Linked DNA regions of Anolis sagrei. The protein of the gene in region 1 interacts with the protein of each later gene in a pairwise test. Links are inferred from orthologs where the notes say so. Each region holds a gene or a part of one and is shown on either strand. Other genes may lie near its edges. The genes, in order: ANKS1A and DOK3.

Region 1 (8,265 bases):
CAGAGAAGGGAAAGCACCAATGCTGTCTTGGGACTAGTCACCGCTGGCCTGGCCGCCACTGCCATTTTCCCACCGAAAAGGTGAGAAGGTGCTGCACCAGGGAGAGTAGAGTGTGTTCTTATTTCTTTTACGTTCTCTAAGGCCCCTTCTACACTGCCATAAAATCCAGTTTCTGATCCCAGATTATGATATTTGAACTGGATGATATGGCAGTGTAGACTCATATAAAAGGTAAAGGTTTCCCATTGACATTAAGTCTAGCTGTGTCCAACTCTGGGGAGTGGTGCTCATCTCCATTTCTAAGCCGAAGAGCTGGTGTTGTCCATAGACGGCTCCATGTGGCCAGCATGACTGCATGGAGTGCTGTTACCTTCCCACTGAAGTGATACCTATTGATCTATGCACATTTGTATGTTTTCAAACTGCTAGATTGGCAGCAGCTGGGGCTAACAGCAGGAGCTCACCTCGCTCCCCAAATTCAAACCACCGACCTTTTAGTCAGCAAGTTCAGCAGCCAAAGTTCTACTAAGAGAAGAGGACAGTTCAGTTTTTAAAAAAGAGTCAAGGTACAGTACTCACACTGACCCATAGAAAAGTCAGTTCAGTTTTTTTTGGGTTGGTATTTTAACTAAGCTCTTCACTTTTGTTATTGCACTCAGAGAAGATTATTGTGTTTTCTATTAGAGTTTAGAGACAGTACCTACACCGACCTGTTGATAAGTCAGCCCAGGTGTTTTTAACTAACATTTCTAGATTTACACATGAGTATATACAGTAATGTGACATACAAACAGTAAAATCCAAGAAAATATTTCTAAGGTTTGACTTAAGAGAAAGAGATACTCACACAATTTAGACAAACAGTGACAAATTAAATAATAATAATAATAATAATAATAATAATAATAATAATAATGTTATTCCTATATCCTGCCACCATCTCCCCGAAGGGACTCGGGGCAGCTTACAGATGCACAAAGTACCTAAAAACAAACATAAAAGTGAACACAATATAAAATACAATAAAATAAAACACAAGCACATATAAAAACATCAATTCAGACTCAACCATAGAGTTGGAAGAGACCTTATAGGCCATCTAGTCGAACCCCATTCTGCCAAGAAGCAGTAAAATTGCATTCAGAGCAGCCCTAATAGATGGCCATCCAGGCTCTATTTAAAAGCCTCCAAAGAAGAAGCCTCCACTCCACTCCACAATCAAGATGCAATCCTCTAACCATTGCGGTAAATAACTTTCACCATGGATGGACTGTAAACATTCGGAATAAAAAAGTACCATGAGGGAAATAAGAATGTTCCCTTTTAAAGAATACATCACTCCAAACCAGCCTGCCTGAAATAATACCTCCTAAAAGAAAGGGGGTGCCTAATAATGCAGTCTGACACCAATTTGACTCAAAGGGAATTGCAGTTTTACAAGGTACTAGCTGTCCCCTGCCACGCGATGCTTTGGCCCAACCTGTGTGCATGTGTTTGTGTGTGTATATGTGTTTACGTGTGTGCGCATATATGTGTGTTTGTGAGTATACATATGGGTGTATAGAAGCGTGCGTATATATTTGTGTATTTATATGTGTACATGCATATTGTGTGTATATGTGTTCTTGTCTATATGCATATTTGTGTGTGTATATATGTATGTGGATATGTATTTATCTGTGCATGTATATATATATATATCTATATATATGCATGTGTATATGTATATGTGTGTATGTATATGTATGTGTCTGTACATGTGTATATTTCTGTGTGTTTGTGCATATATATGTGTGTGTGTGTGTGTGTGTATGAATGTGTGCATATGTATATATATATGAGTATGAGTGTATATGTATATATAGTGTATTTTTGGGGTTTTTTAACTCTGTTCTCCTGGGATGTGTGTGTGTGTGTGTTTACGGGTGATGGACATTCGTTGGACTGTTAGGTGCATTGTGTCCAAATTTTGTCTCAATTCGTCCAGTGGCTTTTGAGTTATGTTGATCCCACAAATGAACATTACATTTTTATTTATATAGATTCTGTCTTCTCAGCCAAAGAGGGTTGTGGGTCAACAAAGAACACATTAGAGGAGTCCATAACATTGAGAAGTGGCAGTTCAAGTGCTGTCAAACTGCTTTAATTCTACAGTGGTAAAATTGGAGTAACAATTTTGGAGTAACAGTGTAATATTTGGAGTAACAGTGGCCTTTTGGAGTGACAGTGGCCATATACAAAATTGGTTGCACAGGGAGTGCATCTAAACTAGGTGTGGGCCAACTTGGGCTTGCCTTCCAAGTGTTTTGGACTCCAACTCCCACCATTCCTAACAGCTTCAGGCCCTTTCCTTTCCCCCTTATGCGGCTGAGGGGGGAAAGGAAAGGGCCTGAGGCTGTTAGGAATGGTGGGAGTTGGAGTCCAAAACACCTGGAAGGAGGACCCAGGTTGGCCCATGCATGAGCTGTCATGACCTACTAATTTGCATATGGTTTCTGATTGGCCAAACTCAACATTCTAACATTCCTAAGAGGCTGAGGGGGAAAGGAAGGGGCCTGAGGCTGTTAGGAATGATGGGAGTTGGAGTCCAAAACACCTGGAAGGAGGGCCCAAGTTGGCCCATGCCTGGTCTACACTGTAGAATGAATGCATGCTATGGGATCCTGGGAGCTGTAGTTCCCTGCCCAAGGTCTTTCTCTCGCCAAACTCCCACCGCCCTGGGCCAGGGCCAGGGCCCACCACTACCCACCTGCCCATTGGTGCAACCGCCTCAAGGTGCTGGCGAGGGACACACCCCCGGGCGCCTGGCACGGCCTCCCTCCCTCCCTCCCTCCGCCTCAGCAGAAAGCCAAGCGCCACACCTACCTGAGAAGATTCGAAAGCGGGTGCCCGCCTCCGCCGCTCCCTCCTCCGCCGCCACCTCCCGAGGAGCCCCCTCCTCCTCCGCCGCCTGAGCCTCCGCCGCCAGAGCCGAAGCCCGAGCTGAGGCGCTTCCCCGAGAGCAGCTTCTCCACGGCGGGCAGGTTCCCCGTGCGGGAGGCCTCCAGCAGCTCCTGCTCCTTCCCCATGGCTCCGGGGAAGCCAGCCAGCCAGTCAGGAGCCCCCCTTAACAACAGCAGCAGCAGCAGCTAAGCCGCCGCCTCCTTTGGGATTCGCCTTCGGCGGCCGCTGCTACTACTGCCGCCGCCGCCGCCTCAGCCCGGCCGGCGCGTCCTTCCGGGGCGGGGCTTAGACAGGCCACGCCCCCTCTCGAGCCGTAAGGCAAGTGGGCGGGGCGGAGGAGGCGGAGGCGCTCTGGTTGGCTGCCTTCCATCTGCTGCTGCTGCTGCCGCCTGAAAGGATGAGGTAAGGCAAGGTGAGGCGGGCAGTGGGTGACTGCATTCCCACCCACCCCACCACCACCTTTCTTCTCACTTTGGGACATGTATATGCGTGTGTGTGTGTCTATATATATATGTGTGTGTGTGTGTATATATACATACACACACATACACACACACTTATATTTGAATGTATGTGTTTGCGTATATATATATACACAATTGCATGCATACGTGTGTGTATATATATGTATCTGTGTGTGTATATATATATACACAAACAGATATATATATGAACACATTTGCATGCATATGTCTGTGTATATGTATCTGCTTGTGTGTGAATATATATGTATACGTGTGTGTGTGTATGTATATGTTTCAAAGTGACAAGAAAGGTTACAGTGGGTGAGAAAGGCTGTCACCCACTGCCTACCTCAACTTGTCTTACCTCATTCTTTCAGGCATCCTTTGCGTGTGTGTATATATATGTGCATACACGTATGCGTGCATACGTGTGTGTATATTTATGTATCTGTTTGTGTTTATGTATATATATACAGACATGCATATATATGTGTGTGTGTATGAACATACTTGCATACATATGTCTGTGTATGTGTATCTGTGTGTGTGTGTATATATATGTATACACACACACACATACATATATGTGTGTATATGTACAAGGTTACAATGAGTGAGAAATGCAGTCATATATGTATATAAAAACACAAATTTGCATGCATATCTATGTATATGTATGTGTATGTATATATATATGCACACATGCCATACATTTGCATGTATATGTGTGTGTTTATGTATATTTATATATACATACATTTGCATACATAGTGTACATATTTCTTGTTACTTTGGAACCTATACACGCACACACATTTCAACATGTGTGTATATGCATATGTATATATCATACATCTACATGTAAATGTGTAAATATTTTTGTCACTTTGGAACCTATACACACACGCATATATATATATATACACATACATACATATACACATTTGCATGCATATGTGTATGTATGTATCTGTGTGAATGTATGCATATGTATATATATACACACACATACATACATTTGCATGTATGTGCATGTATATACACATATTTGCATGCATATGTGTGTGTGTTTATGTATATGTATGTTTATATATACATACATTTGCATGCATTGTGTATATGTTTCTTGTCACTTTGGAACCCACACATGCATATGTGTGTATATTCATGTATATGTATATTCATATTTATATAAATGCATTTGCATGTATATGTGTGTATACATTTCTTGTCACTTTGGAACCTATATATATATTCACACACATATACACACACACACATTTACACACATATGTGTGTATATGTATATTTATATATACATACATTTACATGTATATCTATTTTTGTTACTTTGGAGCCTACACACACACACACATGTATATTTATATACACATACATACATGAAGTGTTCCTTCCAGTGTCATAGAGGGCTTCCTTCAAACAAAAACAAGCATGGCATTTTCTTCAGCTCAAAAAGTACATTTTAATCCTGTGCTTTTAAGAAGGAGGGGACTGAGAACCCTCTAGGTGAAGATCAATCCCAAGGAACTGAATTATTTCAATTAGGCATTTTGAGCATAGTCTCTTTATACGTGATTCATGACATTAAATTTGGAAACACCTAATTTGTGTCATAAAATGTTTGAATGATAAAGCCACCTGCTCCAAGACTCTGTTGCTTCTTCTATCAAAGTCTTCCTTGGAAATCACCTACAGATGAAAGTTGCAGGTATTGGCTCCGCTTAGACAGGATGGGGAGGTGTGGTTGGACACAGATGTCAGCTTTGCAGACCAAATATTGGGGACAGTACTAATAAATAATAGTAATAATAAATAATCATTAAGTAATAAATAAATACATCATGTGCAATTGTGATTTCTCAGTAAATATTCTGTAACAGCCAGAACTTTAAAGCAACAAGTCACAAGCAGTACATATATAGTCAGCCCTTCACATTCACCAAGGTTAAGGGCACAGGACCACTGTTAAAGCAAAGAACTAGTGAATAAAAATTGACTCAGTTGTAAATTTCTGCTATAAACTGACCACATACTCACATTGGAAACTTAAGAGATTCCTAGAGAGATGTTCTTTCTAGAAAATTTAGATCCTCCAGCATGATTGAATGAAGTCAACCATAGAGTCACATTGGAGGAGCTAGACATTCTCAGAGAGGACATTTAAAATCAAAACCATTAATAATGAAATCTTGTTGTTTTTGTTGTTTATTCGTTCATTGGCTTCCGACTCTTTGTGACCTCATAAACCAGCCTATGCCAGAGCTCCCTATCGGCCACTGCCACCCCCAGCTCCTTCAAGGTCAAGGCAGTAACTTCAAGGATACCATCCATCCTACTTGCCCTTGGTCAACCCCTCTTCCTTTTTCCTTCTATTTTCCCAAGCATCATTGTCTTATCTAAGCTTCCCTTTCTTCTCATGACTTGGCCAAAGCACTTAATCTTTGCCTCTAATATCCTTCCCTCCAGGAGCAGTTGGGCATTATTTCCTGGTTTGATCTTCTTGCGGTCCAAAGTAGTCTCTCAATTTTCCTCTAGCACCACAGTTCAAAAGCATCTATCTTCCTTTGCTCAGCCTTCCTTATGGTCCAGCTCTCACATCCATAGGTTAACTGCAAATGTGGAGAGGCAACAGTATAACAAGTTACTGCGGGGAGGACGGGGGGGGGGGGGGGGGATAAAGAAGCCTTAAGTGATGGCTTCAAAGAAATCTGATGAGAGGGATTGCCATTCATTTTTATATAATAACAATCCTAGTTATTTTTCATGACAAAATCATTTTTAGGCATTTGACCAGAATGTTTTTCTTTTTTAAAAAAAGTAACAACATGCCTTAATAAGAGGATGCCTTCCTTGTGCAGTAATCAATAACGTTTTAGAGTTTTGTACAATGAATTTATTTTGTTTATATCAACTTTCCAATATTTGATTTAAGCTTGAAAATATGGATTAAGAAGACAGAAGATATCAATTTCTCAAGAGAGTGATTAACACTAAAGGCTTATACTTCTCTTTTTCCTCATTCCATCTTTTCAGAAGTAATGAGCTCACAGTGGGTGGAGGACTGATTCAAAAACAATCTACAGCAGATGAGATAGCTGATCTTTGAATGTAACGAACTGAAGGCTAAAAATCAACCTATTTTAAGCAGATAACTTTCCCATACAGTGGTGATTAACGTAGTATGATGTGTATGACTTCAGCATTCCCTGTCTCATTTCTCTGATTAAAGGATTGAAACTAAGACTTTGCCTGAGATCTTCATTAGAACGCTGCTGACAACAATCTAATTTGGCACAATTGTCTAGAATGATGAACAAATGTTGCAGTTAACAAAGTTGTCCACCCACTTTTGTCTTTTCTTATCTTTCATCTGTCATTAGGGCATTACTAATGTGTAGCTTCTCCTTCAGTTGTAGGACAATGGGCCTCTTAGCTGGCTTGTAAGTGTGTGATGCGAATTTCACTTCTGTGCATCTATGGTAATAGGATATTGTATCAGGAATGTGTAAATGATGGACAGTGCCCTTGAAGGCAAGAGGATGTAGTAGGTATTTCTATGATGGAGACCAATCACATGCAATTACCTCTCTGAACACCTATGTGAAGACGTGAACCAGATGCCTCATAAATTCAAAAGGGGAAGGAGGTACTGTGTATGATGACAGCATATAGCAGGAGTCTGGTATTCCTTTAGTATGCATGAGATATTAAAAAAATTGAATCCATCCTTTCAAAACACAGGAAATGAGACAAAACATGAATTAATACAGCTGAATATGCTAGGATGATGTGCATGCTAATTTAGTTTGCTCTTCCATTTCTGGTCAAACAGGTTCTGCGGATTTATGAAGTATTACAAGTGTTGCAACATTTATTTGATTAGAAGCAACAGTTGGACAGAAACTAATGTACATGCCGAGCAGTTATACCAACCCTCATTTTAAAAAATGTTACTAGCTTCAATATATCCAACAGGTTCTTCACTAAGTATTTATCCCACCTTGCCCACTGAAATAATAAATGGCATGTCACATTGAGATGGTGTTGGTTCTCCTGGTAGGGAACATACTAAACTCTTTCACCAGTGAGTTGACTTGATGGATAAAGGCATCTGCAGTTAATTTCCCCTCTACTTACTGCAAATGTATTGGAAGTGGTAGCTTGAACTCAAAGGCACAATCAACCTTCAATCATAAGTTCTGATTTGCATTCTGTTGCTGCAATATTTCAATTTTGTATCTGTGTCTGGTGCAAGTTTTATATATGTGTGTGTGTGTTTGATCAAAATTGTTTATTTTATATATTTTATGTTAATATGTTTTTGACTATGTTGTATCCCGCCTCGAGCCATCAAGAGATACAAGTAATAAGAAATTTATAATTTTTATTACTATTATCATTATTACTTGAACTCTGGAATATGTCAATGTGTGATTTCCTGTATTCTTTTCCTATACTATTTACACCATGCTCATACTTGAAAGCATTGCACTAAATCAAATTAGTTCCAACTAGAATAGCCCCATTGAACCAGTGGGACTAACATATGTGTTGATTTATTATCCAGCAGCTGATGTACTGGGGCCCCTTCTACACTGTCATATAATCCAGATTATCGAAGCAGATAAATCACATTATCTGCTTTGAACTGGATTATATGAATCTACACGATCACATAATCCAGTTGAAAGTAGAGAATCTGGACTTTATATGGCAATGTAGAAGGGGCCTGGGAGTACTCTAATTAGTACTAACAATTTAATATAGCCCATTATCTTGTCAGATGTAGGGTGTATCTATGCTGTCAAATTAATGCAGTTCCATAGCACTTTAATTC
Region 2 (7,466 bases), on another chromosome or scaffold:
TGCCAAGTCTGGTTCAATTCCATCATTGGTGGAGTTCAGAATGCTGTATGATTGTAGGTGATCTATAAATCCCAGCAACTACAACTCCCAAATGTCAAGGTTTATTTTCCCCAAACTCCACCAGTATTCAGATTTGGGCGTTTTGGGTATTTGTGCCAAATTTGGTCCTGCAAATGAGATTTATAATACTAGCAAAATTACAATTATGAAGTAGCAACAAAAATAATGTTATGGTTGGGGGTCACCAGAACATGAGGAACTGGATTAAGGGATCGCGGCATTACAAAGGTTGAGAACCACTGTTCTAGGCTTTTCGGGCTATATAGCCATGTTCTAGAAGCATTCTCTCCTGACATTTCGCCTACATCTATGGCAAGCATCCTCAAAGGTTGTGAGGTCACAACCTCTGAGGATGCTTGCCATAGATGCATGCGAAACATCAGGAAAGAATGCTTCTAGAACTTGGCCATATAGCCCAAAAAACCTACAACAACCCAGTGATTCCAGCCATGAAAGCCTTCGACAATACAGAAAATCTTCTGTTTGTGTCCTCTCACTAGGTTACCTTTGGCATTATGGGGACAATAAGCCCTGCTTCTTCTTCAGGGTTGCTGCCAGGCTGAGATAATCTAAGTGCAGCTATTTGAACACTACTCCTCAAATTCTAAAATATCTGTGCCTCTGGGGGTCATAATGGAGTCAGTGAAATTTGCAAGTGGGTAAAGCAGCTGATTGAAAATGAGAAAGCCACTGAACCATTTCGTCTGAGTGATCACACCATCTCCTCCTCACATGTGCAGGCAGCAGCTAGGCCTCTGGTCCCCCACCAGCAGCACCCTTGGGAGGGCTGACGCTTGGCCTCCATTTGCTGGTGACCACAGCACAACCATTGAACAGTGGGAGAGAGAGACGATTCAAGCGAATCCCTGACCCCACAAGTTGTGTAAATTGCTTATCAACTTATGGCAATTCCATGAATTTCATAAGCAAAGAATGCTCAGAGGTGGTTTGGCCTCTTCCTTCCTCTGAAATATAGTCCACACAGCACCTAACATTCCTGCTTCTTGGCAGGGGGTTGGACGGGATGGCCTACGAGGTCTCTTCCAACTCAAGCATTCTATTTGTTACTGGTCTCCCATTCAAGTACTAACTTTGCTAAGCTCTCAAGATAAATTGAGATCTGGTGTGTTTAGGTCACCATAGTAATTTAAAAAGCAGCCTATAGATATTGTAAACTTGGTTATTGTGGTGCCCATTTGTTTCTGATTGTTTTCTGACCATTTCGAAGGGGTGGAGGTAAGTCCTTGGGACTGATAACATGCCATAAAACTTGAAAACTTACTGACTACCTACAAATTGTCTTAAAATGTAACATTTGGAAGAAACAAGAATTTTGGGCTTTTTAAAAAAATTGCTTCTGTTACATAACACTGTTATTTCTAGCCTGTCACTTTCAAGATATGGAGTAAACACATGCTGCATAGGAAAGTGCCACCTGGCTGGAATGCATAAGGAAATAAAGTGAAAGCTTTTTTTGAATCCACTATGAGAAATAGAAATCCCATTTCCCTAACTTTGTTAATGTCTGGGAACGCTTTCCAAAATCCTGAATGACAAACAAGCAGAACAAAGCAAATAACCTGGAACAGATGGAAAACAATTGTGTTGATTTGTAGAGGATCCCATGGAAAAAAACCCATTAATTTTCCAAGGAAAGAAATCTTTTAATAGCTATCTTGTAGCTTCATTACTGAAATATGAATATAAGAGTGGGAGGCTGGGTTAGTCAGAAAGGAGATACAAAATGAGCCATTGTAAGAAAGCAACCAAAAACTGTACACACAAAATAACTGCTCCTGCCATATATGCACACACATATACTAAGGTTGACTGAAAGGTCGCAGGTTTGAATCCGGGGAGCGAGGTGAGCTCCCACTGTTAGAAATGGAGATGAGCACCAACCCCCCCGAGTAATACATAACTGAACTTAATGTCAGGGAAAAAACCTTTACCATACTAAGGCTTCCTACACACATATCTGTCTGTCCCTGGTATCATAAAACTTTGGTTGTAGGATGAGAGAGAAATGAAGTATCACATTTGAATGTGATTTTCCTGCTTCTTGGCAGGGGGTTGGATGGGATGGCCCACGAGGTCTCTTCCAACTCTATGATTGTATGATTCAACTTTCTTCACTGATTTAGCATTGGTTTAATAAGACTTTGAGCAGGGAGGATGCATAACCTTACGGATGAATAGATGACCATGTAACAACAATGTACATTGTAGGAACCAAAGATCAATGAATAATTTTTATTTATTTACTTTATTTATACATTGCCGTCTTCCCTGAGGGGACTCAAGGCAGCTTTTTACATGTTATTACTTGTGTGACTGTCCAAATTGAGGCTCCAAATTTAAGCTTAGCACAGAAAGCTAAAAGCTAAAGAACAGCTTCATATATTACAAGATAAAAGTTTCACCTTAGTTTACCCCTGGAAACTAAGAATCCCAAAAGCTGCCCTAAGAATACAGAAAGCTAAATCCATCTAGCTCAGTGTTGTTAACACTGAGGTTTTAGCCAATTCCGTTTTCCTAGAGATCACACCATTTCAGGTATAAACAAGGGAACCAGTTCAAACTTTATGGCGAAATTAATTTCCACCATACCAGTTAATTCACACAACTTGTCACTTTAATTTTATTACTGGAATAATTTACATTCAAAGGCAATGTAACACTTGGCTACAATTCAGTAATGTGACACAAAAGAAAGACTGGAAACAGATATTAGGTTTCAAAAAGCCCAGCAGTTGCAGGTTCCATCCCGCATCACAAAAGCCCCCCCCCCCCCCCCCAGCCCCTAGAGATGACCTGGAAAGTGCTAGGACATTGTTACCCTGAATCTAGTGGGACTTAACAATTTGTCCAATGAAGGCTTCCTGGGATAATCCCTTCTTTCCACTAAGCAAATACCCATTTTTACCTTCCCAAATTTTGGATGATGAATATAGAGGATCCCATCTTTCACTGGGCACTCCATGGGATAGGCTCCAAACAGTAAGGAAGGAGAAAGAGATCACTCAGCCTGTGAGCTCTTGTGGCCGCCACAGGAATGAGTCAGTATGTACGATAGCACTGGTGACTTCCTCTGCCTGCCAACTTCCTCTTTTGGGCCTGCATGCATACTGGGAGCTGTACTAAAGAGAACAGTCCCGGGAGACACACAGGCAAGTCCCAGGGGACTTTTGATTCAGCAAACGTTGGTGGGTCGCCAGAGTGTCTCCCCACAGCTGCAGAGGCCACCTCTGAGCAGGCCTACAACAGTCACGCAACAATGATAGAAGCAGTTGAGGAAGAGGAACACATCAAACTAAGGATATGTAAAACCTCAAAAGTTTGTGACTAGAGTTAATGAAAGCAATAGCAGAACTCCCAATGGCTGGAAGCTTGGAAACGCTATTATTTTAGACTGCCTCCAGTCAGCACAGTCAGAGGCAGAGGAGTTCTGGGAGCTGAAGTCCAAAGAAGGATCTTTTCCTTGTGGTGATATTCAGTTCAGTTCCTTTCTTCCTTCCTATCACGGCCACCTGCTGGGTCATATGGAGCTTGCTCAATGATGCATGACAACAGTTACTGATGCAATGGCTGATTGCAGCACTAGACCGCCACATTTAGAAGGGAACAGCTCAAGATCTTAAAAGGAAACTTGGGTCTGAAAAGAGCCATTCACACCTATATACACCCAATCTGTGGGACCATGGCCAAGCAACTGTCAGAAACCAGCACAAGGCATCCCACTATGTACATCCGCAATACACAGGAGCTTGGGAGACTGGGCAATCTTTGTGGCTTGCTTCTGGCCTAGGGCAAGGTCAGTAATTACCACAAAAACGAGAAAGCAAAAAGCCCCTAAAAGGGAGCAACTGCACTGGTATCTCTTCTTTCCTACTCTAGTTGACAATATTCTGCCGTACAGTAAACCAAACCTACAAATGGCAGTTGAGAAATATTAGCCCCCAGGGCACTGAGATCTGTTCATTTGCTTGGTTGTGGCCTGCCAAAAACCAGAGTGTATCTAGAAGTCCATGGAGCTATGGGCTAGATAATCCTTGCGTCCAATGTTGCTGACTTGCTTCGTCTGCATGGCTTCCAGCTTGGGGCAGTCAGTGATACGATGACCCAGGCCCCCACAGAAGGCACAGCCCCTCTCGCCTGAAAGATTAAGAAATACATTGTAGATTGTAAGCCCAAAGAAAAATTAACATTTAGTAAGCTGTTCTGAGTGGCTTTGTGGCTGAAGAGTGGAATAAAAATCACGCAAACCAACAAGTATTTTTCATCAGATATCATTTTAGATCATTCTTATGGAGTTTTTCATGCTGAATTCAGATCAGTGTTTTTTTTTTCCTCTACCACATGTAGTTTTTACGATGTGGCTAATCGAATAATTAATGCATTTCTACACTGATATCAATAAAATCTAATTAATATCAGTGTGTAAATGCATTACTTATTCGATTAGCCTTATCACAAAAACTACACATGATAACAGCTTGGGTCCAGACTATTTGACAAACCACATCTCCCTCTACAGACCAACTCAGACACTGCGGTCATCAGAGGAGGTCCTCCTCTCAGTCCCACCCGTCCCAAGCACAGCTGGTGGGAACGAGAGAAAGGGCCGGCCTTCTCTGTGGCTGCCCCACACCTCTGGAACACCCTTCCTAAGGAGTTAAAGATGGCCCCCTCCCCCACCGCTTTCAAGAAACAGTTGAAGACATACCTTAGCTCACTGGCTTGCGAGGAGGAGGAGTTGATAAAACTACCATTATACCTCTGATTAATAGCTATCATCTGTATCTGTGCCCTGCTCACCCTACCAGCTCAACTATAGATTGAGCAACTATCAATCTATTTGCCCCAAGGAACTGGGAAATTGATGCTTCTGTTTGATGTTTTGTCTTATATCTGTAATAACAGGCTGCGTTTTGTATTTAATTTTAGTTGTTAAGTCATAATTCATGTTTATATGTTGGGTTGTTAAATTTTGTTAATATGGATGTATTGTTGTTGTATTCAGGCATTGAATGTTTGCCTTTTATGTCTGAGATCTACCCTGAGTCCCTCCAGGGAGATAGAGCAAAATATAAATAAATAAATAAATAAATAATTATTATTTGAAACACAACAAGATAAATCTACAGCAAACAAGATCATTCTGCTGGCTGTTGTATTGGATCACATGTCACACTTCCCAAATGTCTAGGACTGTGTGATGTATCGGCCAATAATGCGTGCAGATCCCAGTAAGGTGGCCTTATTATTACTATTATAGAGAAAAAATAAACACAGTGAAAAACTCTATAAATAAGCCACGTGAAAAACTCTATAAGAATGATGTAAATCATATCTGATGAAAATAATTGTTGGCTTGTGTTACACAAATATGATGTGAAATAGGCAGACTTTATAGTAGTCTGCTGTAATGTGCCATTTGTCATATTTTTAAAAGTCGCCATGATAGAAAACAATACATATTTAAAATCAGCATTAAGATTATTTAAACTGTGCTATTCTCATTTCTGATTATTACAAAAAGTTGGATTTTGTTGACTTGTGCTATTTCAATAAATACATATTGTCAAATCAGAATTCAGGTCCATGTTTATGCAACATTCAGACACTAAGCACTTGTCATGGCGATGTCAGGCTCTTTGGAACACATTGGTAAAGAGCCTGACGTCGACATTGGTAAAGGTGATGGAAAAGATTAGGCCTCCCTCTTGTATTACTGTTTGATCAGTCCTTCTTCAGTTGTTTCTTCTTGAAGCTACTACGCAGATAAAGGGGGTTTATCCTCTCTCATTCCAGATATATGTATGTGCGGGTGCCCTCCCCACCCCTTTTTGTGGATTACATTCTTCTCCTCTCAGCACATGGGTATTCTAGAATGCATGGGCATTCTCCCTGCTTCTCTCTACCAAAATCACCGGCAATCCTCAGGGCAAAACAAAAACCCTGATTGTGCACCGCTGGCTTAAAGTATAACATCAGCAAACCATGGCAATTGTTCCAGTTTGCCAGCATTAGGCTGTTGATTTTCTTACAAGTCAACTGTCACTGGGATACTTTCTAGGGATTAAGATGCCTTCCCAATTCCCAATGGAACTGCACATCTACTGCCGCAGACCATCCCACTCTCTTAATCACTCCCCTCCCCTCCAAGAACCAGCTACTTACCATTAATATCCAACATGGATTCATCTCCACAGTGCAGCACTTGCAACACGGGGGGCACTTTTTGCTTGGCCTCCAGCAGCAGTGCCTTCAAGTCCATAAGCACTGACTCATCTGGATAAAAACAGGAAAGTCGGAACAAATCAGAATATTAGAGAGAGCAAAGTGGACATCCATTCTAGAGCCTAGACCAGTGGCTCTCAACCTGTGGTCCATGGACCACCAGTGGTCCACAAGAACTAAAATATGGTCCATGGCAACAAGAGTGACTGGTCTTGCAAAAACTTCTTATAGTGTTGACACTTATTAAATATGGTTTTCTGTAGGCGAGCAAATCGCGACTACTGGATGGCATATGTTCTGTATCGGAAACTAGAGCCGATGTGGTCTATCCAATACAATTTTCTGAATCAGCACCCCAAATAACCAAACCGAATCTAAAGCTGACCAAAAACCGATTCGTAACCCTTTTGGTATTAATGTTGGAGAGTGGTCCCTAGTCAAGTGTTCCCTGGTCAAAAAAAGATTGTGAACCACTGCCCTAGTCCTAGTTATAGAAAGCAGCAAAAATTGCCTGCATTTGAGTAGGCAATATCTCCACAAGGAAGGCAATAGTCTCCAGGCAAACCATACCCTGGTTCCATAAAATATTCTACTTTCTGCATGAAAAGGGATCCTGTAGCAGTTAATGCAGATTGAAAGATTAACTATATGCTCAGGTGCATGTTACTTGGCTGATCACACCATGCTGTATGTACCTGTCTGGGCCTTGAGATGCTCAGGAGAGGCCCTTCGCTCAGTCTCACCTCCATCTCAAGCTCAATTGGTGAGAATGAGAGATTGAGCCTTTTGGGTGGCTGCCTCTTGACTCTGGAACTCTTTTCTTCCCAGGAAAGCCAGAATGCCCCTCCTCCTTCCGGCAGCTAAAACCTTTTAATTCAGCAAGGCTTTTAAAGAAGGTTTTGCAGATCAAGATGGGGGGGGGGTGTTGTTTTTGATATGGTTAGGTTTTCATTGATTTTAAGGATTTATCTATTTATTTTTAATACCCGTAATATTTAACTCTATTTTAATGTTTGTATGTGTTATGTTTTAATTCACACATTATTATGGTTTTTATTGTTAGCCACTATGACTCTCCTTCGGCAAAAAAAAGCAGATCTAATACATAATTATCACTGAGAAAATGAAATTGGTAGCATAGGCCTATGGAAGCTAATGCTACC

Evidence for each region.
Region 2: the proteins of ANKS1A (region 1) and DOK3 interact in a two-hybrid assay, tested with the Homo sapiens proteins (2 studies listed by BioGRID and IntAct). The link is inferred for Anolis sagrei from reciprocal best matches to the Homo sapiens genes ANKS1A and DOK3.

The regions. Positions count from the first base shown.
Region 1 is NC_090024.1:189,435,250-189,443,514, reverse strand, and holds the start of ANKS1A (ankyrin repeat and SAM domain-containing protein 1A), read right to left. Parts: upstream 3,215-8,265; 5' UTR 3,069-3,214; coding exon 2,866-3,068; intron 1-2,865. UniProt on the Homo sapiens protein: Regulator of different signaling pathways. Regulates EPHA8 receptor tyrosine kinase signaling to control cell migration and neurite retraction.
Region 2 is NC_090022.1:76,939,154-76,946,619, forward strand, and holds the start of DOK3 (docking protein 3), read right to left. Parts: upstream 3,071-7,466; 5' UTR 3,044-3,070; coding exon 2,987-3,043; exon of another isoform or gene 2,300-2,986; intron 1-2,299. Other genes in the region: probable ATP-dependent RNA helicase DDX41, read right to left, coding at 4,079-4,215, 6,244-6,354. UniProt on the Homo sapiens protein: DOK proteins are enzymatically inert adaptor or scaffolding proteins. They provide a docking platform for the assembly of multimolecular signaling complexes. DOK3 is a negative regulator of JNK signaling in B-cells through interaction with INPP5D/SHIP1.